Caenorhabditis elegans: one gene and its partners. The protein of the gene in region 4 purifies or fractionates together with the protein of the main gene of each other region. This does not show direct contact. Each region holds a gene or a part of one and is shown on either strand. Other genes may lie near its edges.

Region 1 (4,147 bases), on a different chromosome or scaffold from region 4:
TGTCAAAAAATGGATTTTTCCCCTAAAAAAAATGCTCACCGATACCAGCGTCGTCCGTAATGTGCCTTATTCAGCTCATATTCACTTCGGACCTTGTACTCGACTTCTCGAGCGGTCTTCAGTTTTCCCAATCTTCGGAGAGTCCAGAAAGTGGCTTGAATGAGCAAAAGTGTCGTCATGTAGCGGAATGGCATTGCGATCTGAAAATTTAAATTTTTATTATTACACATACGCGAAAAAATACATTTTTTTGGAAAAAAAAATTATTTTTCTGGTTAAATTCTGCTAAAATTCGTAATTTTTTGGCAACATTTCCACGTCTTTTGTAGTATTACATATACAAAAATACTGTAATTGGTCTCGACACGATAACATTTTTTCTTCAATGTAAAAAAGATGTGCGCCTTTAAAGATTACTGTAGTTTTACTTGTTGTAATTTTCTTTGTTCTTCGTGAGAAATATTAAAAAATCGATGAAACTCCACAAAGTTTGAAACTACAGTACTCTTTAAAGGCGCACACCTTTTTAACATTGAAGAATTTCGCGTCTGTGTAATAACCAGGGCTTCCCTTTTTGTTCCTTTTTTCTTTAAAAAATTAGTTTTTTCAATAAAATTGATTTCTTTACAAAACATGGTTTTTGTCTAAAAAATCGTGCTTTTTATACAAAAAAATTGGGTTTCTTCCGAGAAAATCTGTGTTTTTTCCAAACAAATTGTTATTTAATTAAAGTTTTCGAAAAAACATCTGAAAATCCTCCGAACCTTGTACAAAATCAGCGAAACCACCACAACTCCGGCGGTTTCGGGCGTATTTTTGACCTTTTCAACGATAGCATCCGGCATATGAAGCCATTCGAGCAATGAAATCACATCAACTCCACTTTTAACCACCAAATACAATGCGATAAACCATGCTGTACACGATGCCGCGTGAGCCGGCACAGCGATATACCAATATCTTTTAAAATAATATTTCACTTTTGCGAACAACGTTTTCGGCGCTTCTTCCGCCTTCATTTGCTCGATTTTCGCCGTTTTTGCGAGTTTTTGCTCCTCAGACATTGTCATTCTGAACATTTTCCATTTTTGATCGTCTGGCTTCTTCGGAGTGGGCTCTTTCTCGTGGAGTTGTCGACTTGTGTGCAGGAATCGTGAGCTTGATGGGGTCTGGAATTGAGCACAACAGATGCTCCGCGAGCATCGGATTATGGATCGAGCCAAAAGCATTTTGCCTGAATGAAAATTTTGGCCTAAAGGGGGTCTTAAAATTATCTAAAGTAAGTTTCCCGGGGATTTACACTCTCAACTCTTTAAACTTTTTTTTACGTCAGTCTAGCAATTAAATTTCAATTTATGGCTATTTGGGGGCTACTGAACTTATAAATACACGAATGGGGTGGAAAAAGGGGCAAAAATCAATAAATTACATTTTGTATATATAAATAAAAACAAAAAGAACAAAAACCCAGCACGCAAACGTGCGTTGACCAGTAATTTGGGGATAAAAACAATGATATTTAGTGGACAAGTTCGGTCTTTTGACGAATGGCGTAGTAAAGGCCAATGACGACGATGATGACGGCGACAGTCTCGGAAGAGATTGGAGACTTCGTGGCGAGACCCTGCAAAAAATGATTTTTAAAGATAATTATGTGAAAATGATGCAATTCTCACCCCATGGCTTTGTTGAACGGTGAAGAGTGGCTTGGTGACAGGGTTCTTGGCGTATTGAGCGGCTCCCTCCTCGTCGAAAATGTTAATATTAAAGGTTTGAGCTCCGGCGTCCTTGTGCTCAAGAGTCCATGAGACTTGGAACTTGGCGGTCTCGTCGGAAATCGAGACTGGGATAAGGCGACCGTTTACTTCAGCAGTGTATTGGATATTCTTCGGGTTGTTGCTGCATTGAAGTGTGAACTCGGTGATGAAGGTGGTTTTGTAGTGGAAGAATCCGTCGGTAGTGGAGAATGACGAGGCCGAGTACTTTGGCGACTCGCACTTGGCGCCTGGAATATTTATTGTTTTATTTGTATTAAATGTTAACAATCTACGCTTAAAATTCGAAAAATCGAGCCTTATTTTTATACAAGCCACACATTTGAATAATTTGTGTGGGAATTTATTAATTTTTCCAACTTACAAAGAGCGGAAGCGACAAGGCAAAGGGCGACGGCGATCTTCAGCATTATTACCTGCAAAAAAGTAATTAAATTCGTGTTTTGAAGAATTATCTTGTAAAATGAGTAAAATAGGCATTCTATACGTATTTTACTCGAATTTGCATCATTTTAACGCACAAAATTCATGTTTTTAGGGTAAAAATCAAGAAAATAAGTGAAAAATTCATTAAAAACACATTTTAATTCACTAAAACGATGTTTTCTCGACAGTTTCACGTAAAACAAACTCACTTGGCAGCTAGCCAGTTTGCAGTTCTCTCCCGTTCGCTGCGAGACCCACACCGCTGGGAAACTCCATGCGCCTTTAATGCCGATCCAAAATCGATCGTTCAAGAACTTCTTTTGCGCTTCAAAACTTTTGCAAACTGACTTTTTCTCCCGTTTTTCTGCTTTAAAAGTTTGCGGAAAAATTATTTTATTTATTTTATAAGCTATTTTCGATTTCTGTCCCATAAATTCGTTTAAAAAAATCGAAAATAAAAGCGTTCACTCTAAAACGAAAATTCTAGTTCCAGATATCATAAAAATGGCTTCTAGTAGCAGTGGTGGAGCAGGTGGAGCAGGTGGAGCAAGTGGAGCACCAGAAGTCAAGATTCACAACGTATATATGTCAAACGTGGAGGAGGAATTCGCGAGGATTCGAGGATTCGTCGAGGTACAGCCGATCGTTTGAATATTTTTAAAAAATCGGTTTTTTTTCAGGATTATCCCTACGTGGCAATGGACACAGAATTTCCCGGAGTTGTGGCGACACCGTTGGGCACATTTCGAAGCAAGGAAGATTTCAATTATCAGCAAGTGTTCTGTAATGTGAATATGCTGAAATTAATACAAGTGGGCTTTGCAATGGTCAATGACAAAGGAGAGCTACCACCGACTGGCGATGTTTGGCAGTTCAATTTCAATTTCTCCTTCGCTGAAGACATGTTCTCGCATGAGAGTGTCGAAATGCTCCGGCAAGCCGGAATAGACTTCACATTGCTGCAGGTTTTTTTAATATTGATTTTCCAATATTTTAATAATAATTTCTTTCTTCCAGAACAATGGAATACCGACAGCAGTATTCGGAGAACTTTTGACGACGTCAGGCCTCATCACTGATCCACGGATCACATGGCTCACGTTCTCTTCCGGCTACGACTTTGGATATTTGTTGAAAAGCATCACACTTGGAGATCTGCCTAAGGAAGAGTCAACGTTCTTCATGTGCCACAAAACTCTCTTCCCAACCAGCTTCGACATCAAAATCCTGCTCCGAACTCCAAATTGCGCGTCTGCAAAGCTGAAAGGAGGACTTCAAGAGGTCGCCGATCAGCTGGACGTGAAACGACAAGGAGTTCGCCATCAAGCTGGATCCGACGCACTGCTGACCGCCGCCACGTTTTTCAAGATCAAAAAGCAGTTTTTCGGAGACAACTGGAACCAGATTGCTCCATTGATCTGTGGACATATGTTTGGTCTTGGATCTTCGCTTTCGCTGTTCCATAGCTCCGGATCAACTTCTCGACTAGGCGATGAGACACCACAAGGCCTAATCGGAGTTCCACAACAAGCCTGAACAGATCTCTTTCCCGTCATTTTTCATGTGTCTATTTCTTTTATTTTTTTCTTCCTTTTTCCACCAAAAACCGTCTACACTGTTATTGTAAATTAGCTGTCTGTTTCGTGCCCTTCCCCATCTCTCACCCAAGTTTTTTGTGTTTTCACGCGCCCTATAATTTGTCTTTGTTATTATATCTCCCTATACTTGATGACTATACGCTTAGTTGTTTATAGGTGATCATTACTCTGAAAGTTCGATCTTTTTTATTTGTAATTTTCAGCAGCAGTAGAAGCTGGGCGAGATCGGGCGCCCCGTGTATCTTTTTATTTTCATTTTCCCTCCCCTATGCCCAAAAAAATAAAAATTTTCGAAATCTACTCGCGGAAACTTTAAATTTTCAACTAAAATAAGGGTTTTTGAGCCTG
Region 2 (4,026 bases), on a different chromosome or scaffold from region 4:
GAGTAATATCCAATTTTTGACTGTAAATTTTAAAGATATCCTTTTTTGAAATGCAATGATATTTTGTCGTTTTAACACAAAAAGAGTGATAATATTTCCCGGGCTTGCAATTTTGCGCAAAGAATACGGTGTCCGGTCTCGACACAACTAATTTAATTAAATTCAAATAGGTGCGCGCCTTTAAAGAGTACTGTAATTTCAAACTTTCGTTAATGTGAAATTTTCGTCGATTTTTTATAGCTTATTCATATTTTAATTTTTTAAATAAGTATATTTTTACCGAAAAACTATGTAAAGTCGATGAAAATTCAGCGGCAACGAAATTTTTAAACTACAGTACTTTTTAAAGGCTCACATCTATTTTTGTTTTCCAAAAAAACGGCGTGTCGATACCGGCTACCGTATTTTTGTCGCGAAAATCGTAAAATTTCGCTGATAAGTGAACATAGCTTTTGGAAATATTTTTAAAACTTTTTTCGAACTGCCAAAAAAGCGTTGAAAGTTTTTGAGTAATCTTATTATGAAATTTAAGTAATTCAAAACCATTTTGAGTCTATTAAAACGAAAACAATTTTATCCGTTTCTCATCAGTTAAAAATTGAAATATATAATATTTAATTGATATTTGCCTACTTAGGAGTATTTAATTCAAAGAAATCAAGATTTTCAGTTTATTTTTTTTTGTTTTTCTGAACAAAACATACCGATTTCTGGAAGCTGGCAATTGTCCATCTCCAGAATCATCTCCAACTAATAACTGCTGACTATCGGTTGTTTCGCTTCGGGAAAGTAGGGAAAATCCTCTGAAACTTCAAACTTTATACATTTCTTCTAAGTGAAATTTGTTACCCAATAGACGTTGGAAGCTTGTTGCGAAGTGAATCAAATGAAGAAAATGAAGCTGAACTGCTGATACCACTTCCTTTCTTCTTCTGATCATTTATGAACTGCTCTAGAGCAGACATGCCCTTTAAATTGTTGTTGTAAAACATTTATTGACATCGTTATCATAGAAACCTTTCTGGCAGAATACCAATTTTCAACGAGGGTGAATTGCGATTTTAAAAATGAATGATTTATTGGAGTTTAAGAAACTACATACACAAAAAGAAAACTTTTAAACTAAAAAAAAAGAAATCGGCTCGAGATTTGAAACAGATAATTCTAATGATGACCATCCCATGAGGTGGTTCCGTGAGTCTTGTATTGGTAAGCTTCTTCAACGAAAATCAAGGCAGCTGTGAATGCAACTCCAGCTTTCCATCCAGGAAGAATCAACTGAAATTTATTAAATAATTTTAAAAAATTCCCTAAATACATTAATATAATTTTTGGAAAATCGGCTTGCTCGGAAATTTTCCAAACAAGAGCACATTTATAGGATACAATCCATAAAAATTTTTTAATATTATGTTGGTATTATATTAATAATATTTAATTCATCTCGAAGAAAACACGAACCTTCTTGAAATGAGCCCATTGTCCAACAACGTGTGGATACTTTCGATCGTACAAGTAGACGTAGTTTCTGAAAGAAAAATCAATAATATATTTATTAATATTATCGATAAAAAACCGACCTGATCCATGGATCCTTCAATCCGATTTGAGCGAGTCGTTTTTCATGCTGCGCCAACTGTGGAAAATCGCGAAAATTGCTGTAGATTGAGTAGTTTGGGATCTTAAACGGCTCGTGATGTCCTCCACCCATTCTGGAATTAAAATAATTGAAAAAAAATGTTTTAGAAACCTGTATTATGAAAATAAATGAAGAGAACGATAAAATCAGAAAGAAATGCCAGCCGAGTTTGTGTAGATTTACGCGGTGTGTAAGCGTGCGGCAGTTGCGTTTTCCGTCAGAGCGCAACTGCGGCACACTTTTCTCAATCAATTGTCAGGAGATTTTGGCTTGTTCCAACGCACCACTTTTGTTTTGGCTGTATTTTCAGATTCTCAACATTTTTTCTGCTTTTTTAATAAAGGAAAACTTTAACCATGTCGAAACGTAATCAAAAAGTGAGTTTTTATTCGGAAAAATCAATATTAACTAGAAAAGAACGATGTTTTAATTCAAATTTCAGGGCGTATCTACGGAAGATGCCGTAAAAATGACGAAGGAGCAAGAAGACATTGCCAAATACATCAGATTCAATTGTCCGACAGCCACGACCATGTTTGAAGGAAACGAAGTTCATTATTTCAGTGGTATGTACAAATTTCAATTGTTTATATTAATATCGCATATATTTTCAGGAAATAAAGCTGTCGATACTCTTTGGGAATCCAAGTACGGAAATAAAGCAAAGAAAGATGCAATGTTTAAAACAAGGTGGGCATTCTGTAGAAATTACGTAAATTTAAATAGATTCTAAATTTTCAGAGATGATTGCTTCCATTATATTTGCGAACTCAACTCGAAACAATTATTCTTCCGTGCAAAAAAATTAGTAGCAAAGAAAAAAGAGAATAAAGATAAAGGAAACGATTCTTCTGGTAATCATAAAACTTAAAAAATATCTTAAAACACGTTTTTTTCAGCTGAAGTTACCAAATCTCCAAAAGGTGTAGTTGAAAAGAGAAATAAAAAAGCCAAAGAAGAAGAAACAGCAACCGAAGCTGAAGGTGATGAGAAAGAAGTGAAAAAAGACGAAAAGAAAGACGAAGAAAAAAAGAAAAAGAAGGTGAAGCTTCTTGTACATGAAGTTCAAGCATTCGTCGATGACAAAGATGTCTACGTTTGGGTATTCGATCCAACTCCTCTCATGAAAAAGATTATTGGAGTACTTATGCGTAAGTTTTCCCTTTTTGATTTGTTATTTCCTGCTTTAGAAATGATTCAATGTGTAAAATTAAAATCCAATTAATATATTTCAGTCGTCGGTACAATTGTCGGATGCTTGTTCCCTCTATGGCCTGTATGGCTTCGCCAAGGAGTTTATTACGTATCAATTACTGGAATTGGATGTTTTGCAGCTATCATTGTCACTGCTATACGTGAGTTGTTTCAACAATAATATTCATTTTTCGATTATTTTCAGTCCGTACTATTCTTTTCGGAATTATCTACGCTGTTACTTTCGGAAAACACAAACTCTGGGTTCTGCCGAACTTGACTGAAGACTGTGGAGTTCTTGAATCATTCCAACCATGGTATACTTATGAGTATGTTGGTGATGAGAAGAAAGAAGCTAAGAAAGATAAGAAAGATAAAAAGTCGAAAAAAGAAAAGGATTCTGATGCAGAAGAGGAGGAGCAAGACCACATTGCTGCTGAACAGGAGCAAAAAGAGGAAGAAGACGATGATGCTGAAAAAAATAGTCAGGCATCAACTGATGATAATTATGAAAAAATTGAAGACGAGGTAATCTGATAAGTGTTTCAATTTAAATAATTATAATTTTGAAATTTAGGAAATCTCTGCTCCACCATCACCAAGTGACGATGCTCCTCGAAAACGTCGTCCAGCTAAAGTCTAGAAATTTAGTTTATCCTGAAATTTTTCCATTCCACATTTCTGCATTTATGAAAACTTGTCCTGAAAATCTATTGCATTACCCTCATCCTGTCGGTTTCGTCACATTTTAAATACTATTTTTCGTCCCATTCTTCCATACTGTGATTACCCTCTTGGCTAGTTTCTTCTTTCTCAGTCACTCTTCATTGTTCTTGCATAACTAAAATCTGAATGTTTCCGTTTCGGTCCACTATTGGACATATAATAAATTGGTCTATACAAAAGTCAAACAAGATAATTTCTTCATCAAACTTGGCTCATATAACAATAGAAAATTGAATAACTTGAAACATGCCAAAATGAATGTAGAAAATAATGATATAAATATGTGGAGATGGGGGGAGAAAGAGGAAGTACGACCCGTGTTGATTAACACAATTCCGAATCGGACTGATGGAACAAGAAAAGGGAGATAAATGTGAAAAGATGACCATCACAGCACATCAAAAAGACGTGGTTAAAGCATGAATTGTCTATAGAGTGTTCGTAGAATGGAATAACAAACTATTGAG
Region 3 (4,111 bases), on a different chromosome or scaffold from region 4:
ATCATCAAACAGTTCTGACTTATCTTGATCATCTCCATCATACATCGGACTGTAATCATAGTAGTCGTCGAGCTCAATCATGCTTTCAGGATCTCTGCGGAGTTTGCAGTGCTGCTTATCTCGCATGTGCTGCTGACAACTCTGAACTGATTCGTATCTGGCTTTAACGTCTGGGCAGAAGATACAGCAACGACCAGCTCCAACTTTAAGTCCCAAGTAGCTTAAGCATCCAAGTTCATCGCTCAAGTATTGCCTGTCTGGAAGTTGGAATCCATGATGGAAGTTCATATGAGTACGCATTTCATCCATATTAGGCTTTGTCTGTGGACAAAACAGACAAGATGTGACTGGAAGAGCATCATCCTCATTTAGTTCCTCCACACCTTCCTCCTCATCGTCAGTTTCCCATCCACTCGAGTCATCATCTTCATCATTTTCAGGTTCCTTTAGTGACTCAGGTTTCTTTGGCAAATTCTCTGGCTTCTTTCTTGGTTGCTTTGGACCTTTCTTCACATCATCCTCAATCTTCTTCTCATTTTCCTTGTGCTTTTTGCTAGCTACGTGATCAGTCATTGCATTCTCCGATTTGATTGATTTCCGACAAGCCTTGCAGTACAATGGTTCAACTGAAGCAGCAACGACTGGCTGAAAAATTGATAATGAGTAAGTATTAAGCGAACATTAGAAAACTTTTCCCCTACCTTTGTTGGGTTGAACGATGCAGCTTTCTCATTGAAAAGCTCAATTCCTATAGCTGGAAGCTCAGCAGCTTGTCTTTTCAGATTGTACCGATGCCATTCGGTTTTGTAATGATCTCTCTGCAGCTCGGCTGTCTCGAAGACGACACGGCATGTTACACATGTGAACCCTGTAGATCCATCCATTCTGATAGATCTCTGTAATAAAATGTTTAATTTAAAGCTTACAAGAAGAAATTTAAATAAATTGGAAAAAATATGCAAATGGTCAGCAATAACCATTTAAACAGATGAATAATAAATGATAATATACAATGAAAATACAGCTATATTTATTTGTTCAGTGACGTTAAATTCATAAAAAACAAAACAAAATTATTCGGTCTACGAGTGAGCTCGTTCTACTTAAAATCAATCGCATTACTTCCTCATAGTGGCCTATTTGGAAACAGTTGGGGCAGCAGCTGGTAGTTGGGTTTGAATTGACGCGATCTCCTCATCCCAAGCTTTTTCGATTTTGGCCCAGTGAGTCAGCAACTCCTTCTTTCTCTGCTCACGAGTATTGAAGTAGTAGGGGAACTGTTCACGTTCAGCCAATGTCCATTGATCCGAATCGACAATCTCATCCGGCGACTCGCGTTCACGATCATAACTGGAACCTCCTGGATCGAGAGCAAAACGGAAAGGCTTGAAATGACGTTTCTCCCACAATTGACGGCATCCGTCGGCAAGAAGGATCTGGCTCTTACGGGTGTCAACCTCATCAGCGTTAGCGTCGAATCGAGCACGGATAATACACTTTTGGAAGCGAACTTCCAGATTGTTTCCTCCATACCAGTTGTCAACTTCGCGAAGACAGCGTTTGTAGAGGCGGGTGACCTGAAAATGCAATAATTCGCTACATTTTAAACAGACGAAATCTCCAATCAGATTAAAAAACAACGCTACCAATTTCACAAACGACTAAAGCTTTTCAAAAATAAAAATTACCTTCTGTCTATGGCTCAGCGCCTTCGTGAACATCCACGCCGGCGAATCCATGGCTTCCTCCCGGTCTTCTCTGAAAACAATGGGTTTTATAGAGTACAAAAATATGTGATTGGAACAATAAAATAAAATTGGAAAAAAAACCAATCAGTTTAATTTTTAGTAAACAAGGAAAAGTAACAATTTTCATTTGAATTTTTGGGTAAAAGAGTTAAAAATTAAAAAGCAAATAACAACAACACAATTGGAAGAGGGCGAATAAAAGAAAAGAACAAAAATAACGATAACAGACAAAATGGAATGCGAAGTTTTATGCCTTGACCCTTTGTCGTGGCTCCGTTTCTTCTTCGTATTCAATCTCAACATGAGCTCGTTTCTTGAGCTTCTTCTTCTTTCCATCAGCAGCTTTCTTCCCAGTCTTTTTCTTCGGCTCCTTCTTTACCTTCTTCTTTGGTGGCTCCTCAATTTCCATTGGCTCATCACCTCCTTCCTCATCATCTTCATCCGAATCCTCTTGTTCTTGTTCTGGCTGCCAATTATCCTCGTTCTCACTGTCAGTATCTCCTGGTGACCAATGTCCATCACCTCCGTCTTCCATGTCCTGATCCTCATCGTCGGAACTATCAAAGTCAGCGACGAACTGAGTCTCACCCGTGTCTGCGTCGTCCTGCTCGAGTTCTTGCTCCACTTCCAACTCTTTTTCAGTGTTTTCCAGCATTTGTTCGAATGCCTCTTGACGGAAGTTGTAAACATCGCCATATGTTCCTTGTCTAAAAGTTGTTTCATTCAAAATGTGCACTTTCTAATATATCAACTCACTTAAGTCTGGCTAAGAGCTCTTTCTCAATAGCGTGATCAAGTTTAGCTGCAACAAGTGCCTTCTCTTCACGACGTTTCTCACGTCTTTCCACTTTCCGTCCAATTGGAATGAGTTTCTTCTGGCTGAAAATAAATAATACTATGCAAAATTCAGTTTCTATAAGTTTAAACTTACTTTCCACGGACTGCCATTTTACGCATTCTGATCAAATATTGATGAATTCGGATGAGACGAGCTTTGCACTTGTGTCTAACATATTCACTCCAATGAAGAAGTTGATCACTGATTTGTTCCAATGCTTTGTTCATATCCTTTGACAACTTTGTCTTTTCCCATAAACGACGTGGATAGTGAGATCGTTCGACAACTTTTGCGTACAAGTAACATACTCCGTTCTCCTCACGAACTGTTGCATACTGTGAGTTAGCCAATGGACACGAAGCTCTGTTGCACAAACCAGTCAAATTCATTTCATTTTTACAGAACATTTTTGGCTTTGTCCACGCTTTGTAGGCGCATTGTCCCTTGTTGAGAATGTTCCAAGTCACATCGTCGCACTGCATTTTTACCCAGTTTCTGAAAAATTCGAATTTTTTGAGTTGTTTTTCACACGAGAATTACTTCGATAAAAGGAAAAAGAAGCAAGAATTGATTGAGAAGAACGGGCAAAAAAATTGTGAAAGAACCGAAAGTGTGCGTCTTCGCGTGGCGGTGTTTGCACACTTTGTCAGTCCCGCGTGCCTTAAGGCGCCTTCTCTCTATTTTCATCTTTCAATTAAAATTTAAAGTCTCAAACAAATATTTTCACAGGAAATAACTGGGCCACAGGAACGCAATTAAAATAATATAAACACCAGAGAATATTTATTCATTAGTTAAAACAAGCAAACCGTATTTTAAAGTATTCAAAACAATGGAAATGTACTTGAAACAAACTGTTACACCGTACAATTGAGGATATGAATAGTAACATCGAAAATTGATGTGATAGTGCATGTAAAAAATCTAATACGTTTTATTCTAGTAATTCAGCAACCGGCTCCTCTTTCGCTGGAGATTCAATAGCTGAACTGGTTTCTGTTGCTGGTGCATCTTCGTCACATTGATCTTCCCATGTGGGACCTTCATCCAGTTTTTTCGCCGCCTCAATCTCATCTTCGGTCATATCGCGTTCGACTTCAACAACATACTCTTTTTGTTGCACTTTTTGCCACCCTTCTTCCTCGTCTTTCCACCAATCTTTTGGAGGTGAAGATACTAAATTACTTGTTGTCGGAACGTTACTTTCTTCATCGTCCGAATCGACATCGCTCCCCAAAAGAGCAAATTGGTTTTGTTGTTTCAATGGGATTGGGGCAGTTATTTCCTGGAAAATAAAAATATTGAAATCTGAACAATGCCAGACAAAAATTATATATTTACCTTCATTGGACGAGCTTCTCTCCGAACTACCATTTTTTCCGTACATCTTAATGGTTTCATGAGACCTTCTGTTTCTTCTTTTTTACTCAAAGCTTGATCCATTATATCTTTTCTAATAACAGCAGGTCCTGGCGTCTTTAGAGCTCCTTTGTAGTTTACAAGATCACTAATGAGAACGAGAGGC
Region 4 (4,101 bases):
AGAACCGAAAAAGGTCGTTTTCTAATTGGAAACGAGGGAGAGGAAAAGAGACTGAACGATGTTGAATAACTGAATAAAACTGTGAAACGATGTTTACCGAGCTTTTTCGCAAACACTTTGGACATCTTTGGATTGAAATTCTTTTCGTCTTATTTGGAAAAATATTTTTCTAAAAAAGAATTTCCCTCTTTCAAATAGGTGCGTAGTATATCCACTAGAATTTCAGGATTGACGGCTCAGGGACCATCTTATACTGATTATGTCATAGATGTAATTTTGTTTTTGATTTCTGATTATTGACATTCTTCGCTTAAGTCTGAAATTTCTAAGAGTGTAGTTCATACAGTTTTGATTTTCTTCTTTTTTTTCCAAATCCTAATCCACTGTAACTTTTCTGAAAATAGGTTTTTTTCATATTACCCATAAATTTTACATTCTTTTCTGATATGTTTTTTCGTAGTTTTTCGCTTTAAAATTCAAATTATATTTTTGAAAACATGTAAACGAATTTATATTTTGAAAATTTAATGAAACAATTTATTGAAGTTGTAGGCAATTATTATGGCACAAGAAACAATAAAACATGTGAACAGATTAAAACGTATCAAAAATTAATCTCTATGCAAAATACTGGGTGCTAAAAGAAAGGTTTATAGTTTTTTTTTTTGTAATTTATATCATATTATCGATTTTTCAAAAGTTATAGGCTGCCAATAAAAAATTTTGAGAGAACTTTTGCGAAATTTAAAATTTGTGAAGTTTCTCACAAAAAAGTGAAGATCAAAACTTTGTCAAACAGATAATATGATTGCTAGATTTTGGGAACAAAGAATCAAATTATTCCTGCTCGAGTTCAATAAGTACACCTCCACAATCCTTTGGATGCAAGAACATTACTTCTTTTCCATGAGCTCCAATTTTTGGTTTCTCACCCAAAGTACGAATTCCTTTTGTTTTAACAGCAGAAACAGCTTCATGAATATCACGAACTTCAATACAAATATGATGCATTCCACCGTCCTTATTCTTATTCAAAAAAGCTTGAATTGGAGATTTCTCGCCGAATGGATGAAGAAGCTCGATTTTTGAGTTTGGAAGCTCAACGAAGACAGTGTAGACTCCATGTTCTGGTTGTGGCTGTAATTATTCAATTCAAAAATTTTAATATAAACTAGATGAGACATTTTATTTTTTATTTGCGGATTTTTATCATTTTTATGAAAAAACTTGTAATTAAATAAATATTTTTCAAGTAAGTTTACTGTAGTACACAAAATTCGCTTCATTCGCATTTTATTTCATTTTTCAGTTGTAGGGGTTTTTCCAAAATTTTTCGTTTTTTGTTATGCTATTTCAAAATTTTAGGCTATTCAATTTTTATTTTGATTTATGCTACAAAGAATTTAACAAAAATATTTTCTACATATTTTTGCTCTAAATTTTTATTGACATTAGGAAGAAACAAAAATTAAAGACTAACCACAGCCTCGCTAACTTTTGCTCCGAGGCCCTTGTAGAATTCCGATGATTTCTTGAGATCTGGTGTGGCAATGGCGACGTGGTTCAACTTTCCGAGAAGTCCTGCCAATGGATGGGAAGCCATGGTCTGAAAAGTCAAAATTTTTAAAGTAAAAAAGCGATTATCTAATAGTTTTCATCAGAAAAAATAGAAAAACCTACTCTTGTGGACAGCGAAAGCTTAGCAGAATTGACAAGGGCGAGTGTAGAACGGAAGGATGCCATTTTCAAAAGAAGAATCTATAAACATGGTTACTGTACTTTAATAAAATTTATAAAACTCGAAAAATGCTAAGTAATAAGCGTTTAAATGATTGAAACATCTGTGAGAAAATGAAAAGTAACAGAAACAAACAAAAGTTTAGATAAGAAAATGTTTTTGACATTGAAAATTCGGTCAATGAACCCGCTGTAAACTTGCTTTTTGCACGCACTCACTTTGATTACAACGACACTCCGATATTACACAAGTGCTTGTTGTTTATCTTATTTTATTTCGGGCAATTTTTGTGCCAATTTTCAGCTTTACTTTGTTTTTAACGTTTTAGAAGAATATTTTCCGGAAAAATATGTTAAATTATTAAAATATAAATTGTTCACTTCTTATCAGCAAAGCATTCGCTGCCCTAAGCATGCTAATTATTTATTTTGAGTTGATTCAAATATCAGAAGAGTTTTGATGCTTTCTTTATTTTGTACCAATTCCTTTTTTTTCAGCCAAGATGGGAACTAAACTGTCCGTCTCATTGGAAGGAGCCAGTACACCAGAAACCGCGCCACGTGTCGACAGACCACCAACTTTCGATCCTCAGTATGGATTCGAGCGACCGAGAAAGGTAAACAACTTTTTTAAAAGTTCATTAAATAACTGTTCATTTAATTCATAAATATTCAATATAATAAAGTTTAATATTCAAGGTCCGCGAGATGAAGGCTACTTGGGAAGAGATGGAGCAGTGGAAGTTGAAGCCAGCTCAACGCGATTATTGTGCTCACCACTTGATTTCACTCATGAAATGCCAAGTAAGATTTTTGTTTTAGTTACAATGATATATTTTTAAAATTATATAAAAATACACATCTAAAATTATTTTCTCAAAAACAGCAAAAATAATTTATTATATTCAGACCCAAAATGCACCATTTGCCGGACACGCGTGCGACGGAGAACGTGGAGCTTGGGATAAATGTGAATATGATGATCATATCATGAGAATCAAAGAATTCGAACGTGAACGACGATTGCTTCAAAGACAGGCTCGCAAAGAAGCCACTGCTTGAATAGATGTCGATGAGATATTTCTTTAAATGATTTTTGATAATAGTATAGTTTTTTGTGAATACTATGTGTCTTTTGTTTCGTTTCTTTTTCTCTCGATTTCGGATAAATATTGAGTCGTACACTTTTTTTTAATGTTGAAAATTTTTTTGTTGTTCGTATCATTTGTAATATATCTATGCTATAATGATTCCGATTAGTTTTCCATATTATAATTTAAAAACACCTTTCAGAGATGACCGAAATCCGAAAAGTCGTCCAAGAAACAATGGTTGGAAAACCAGAAGACGAAATTCAGGTTAGAAATTGTCAAATTTTTTTGAATTATCTAAAAACCTACATATTCTGTCATGGATCCATTCATCAAATAAGTTTCAGACTTTCGAAAAATGTCTCCGTCTCGTTGGATCCAATCGAACACGTAAAGAACAAGAACTAGGATTTTGTCTTATGTCGAGAATGATCATCAAATGTTCTTCACAAACTCTACGAGCAGTTCAATCGCGATTGGCTAATCGACTTGCTCATATCTCGGATCATTTTCAATTATGTGGATCACTTTATACTCGAGAACTTCTTGTTAGAAATCCGCAAGCTGGAGAACTTCATTCTCCAATTGTATTCAAGATTATTCTTAATTGCATGGATGCTGCTGCACAAACAAGTGATCCCAATATTCGTGGATTGGCTGCTGAACTGTTTGGATTGAGAATTAGCAATCAGAATCTAACAATGTTGTTGAATACGCTTGAAGTTTTGTTGAGTGCAACCAAGATTAAAAATGTATCAAATGGTTAGTAATTTTATCAACAAAAAAAAGTACAACTCTATTGGCACGTAAAATCTGAATTTATTTTCAGATCTCCTTCAGCTTAGAACATTGGGAGTGTCTTCTCATCGAGATTCGCTGACTTCTCTTCTTTTTGAAGTTCTCGCACTTTCACTCGGATACGCTTCAAAGCCGGGATTATTTGTAGAACGAAAAGATATAATTCAAGTTATTGAATTGGGAATTAATAATCCGAAAAATCGATCTGTTGCATTTGCATGTCTCCGTTCAATGTGTGTAAACACGAAGTATTCACTTATTCCAATGGTAAGCTTTAAAAATGTATTTTCAGATAAAAAAAATAGTACCCGGCCTCGACGCGCCTTTTTGTTAAATACAAATGGGTGTGCGCCTTTAAGAGTACTGTAATTTCAATATTTCGTTGATGCGAAATTTTTACTGATTTTTCATAGTTTTTTCATTCAAAGTTTTTTTTTGTGAAATGAAACTACTAAAAACATCAATTCTACAAATT

The links.
Region 1: the proteins of ndub-7 (region 4) and trap-4 fractionate together in Caenorhabditis elegans (co-fractionation; one large-scale study listed by BioGRID). This does not show direct contact.
Region 2: the proteins of ndub-7 (region 4) and ndub-3 fractionate together in Caenorhabditis elegans (co-fractionation; one large-scale study listed by BioGRID). This does not show direct contact.
Region 3: the proteins of ndub-7 (region 4) and C16A3.5 fractionate together in Caenorhabditis elegans (co-fractionation; one large-scale study listed by BioGRID). This does not show direct contact.

The regions. Positions count from the first base shown.
Region 1 is NC_003281.10:11,918,779-11,922,925, reverse strand, and holds trap-4 (Translocon-associated protein subunit delta), read right to left. Parts: upstream 2,192-4,147; 5' UTR 2,186-2,191; coding exon 2,140-2,185; intron 2,006-2,139; coding exon 1,677-2,005; intron 1,625-1,676; coding exon 1,520-1,624; 3' UTR 1,339-1,519; downstream 1-1,338. Other genes in the region: Y56A3A.22 (DUF1279 domain-containing protein), read right to left, coding at 40-200, 765-1,229; ccf-1 (CCR4-NOT transcription complex subunit 7), read left to right, coding at 2,706-2,834, 2,882-3,166, 3,219-3,737.
Region 2 is NC_003280.10:8,963,179-8,967,204, forward strand, and holds ndub-3 (NADH dehydrogenase [ubiquinone] 1 beta subcomplex subunit 3), read right to left. Parts: upstream 1,713-4,026; 5' UTR 1,712-1,712; coding exon 1,581-1,711; intron 1,529-1,580; coding exon 1,462-1,528; intron 1,279-1,461; coding exon 1,165-1,278; 3' UTR 1,064-1,164; downstream 1-1,063. Other genes in the region: sftd-3 (Vesicle transport protein), read right to left, coding at 705-803, 850-965; sec-62 (Translocation protein SEC62), read left to right, coding at 1,996-2,016, 2,082-2,205, 2,254-2,329, 2,381-2,493, 2,539-2,790, 2,875-2,994, 3,039-3,361, 3,411-3,476; szy-20 (SUZ domain-containing protein), read right to left, coding at 4,019-4,026.
Region 3 is NC_003281.10:6,378,419-6,382,529, reverse strand, and holds C16A3.5 (NADH dehydrogenase [ubiquinone] 1 beta subcomplex subunit 9), read right to left. Parts: upstream 1,759-4,111; 5' UTR 1,740-1,758; coding exon 1,689-1,739; intron 1,578-1,688; coding exon 1,137-1,577; 3' UTR 1,013-1,136; downstream 1-1,012. Other genes in the region: znf-622 (C2H2-type domain-containing protein), read right to left, coding at 1-645, 702-884; C16A3.6 (Protein MAK16 homolog), read right to left, coding at 1,996-2,455, 2,505-2,627, 2,680-3,068; nfx-1 (Transcriptional repressor NF-X1 homolog), read right to left, coding at 3,521-3,871, 3,928-4,111.
Region 4 is NC_003279.8:7,579,763-7,583,863, reverse strand, and holds ndub-7 (NADH dehydrogenase [ubiquinone] 1 beta subcomplex subunit 7), read left to right. Parts: upstream 1-2,235; 5' UTR 2,236-2,240; coding exon 2,241-2,354; intron 2,355-2,436; coding exon 2,437-2,541; intron 2,542-2,646; coding exon 2,647-2,799; 3' UTR 2,800-2,920; downstream 2,921-4,101. Other genes in the region: mce-1 (Methylmalonyl-CoA epimerase, mitochondrial), read right to left, coding at 838-1,137, 1,481-1,606, 1,681-1,743; D2030.3 (Fanconi anemia group I protein), read left to right, coding at 3,033-3,095, 3,176-3,590, 3,658-3,893.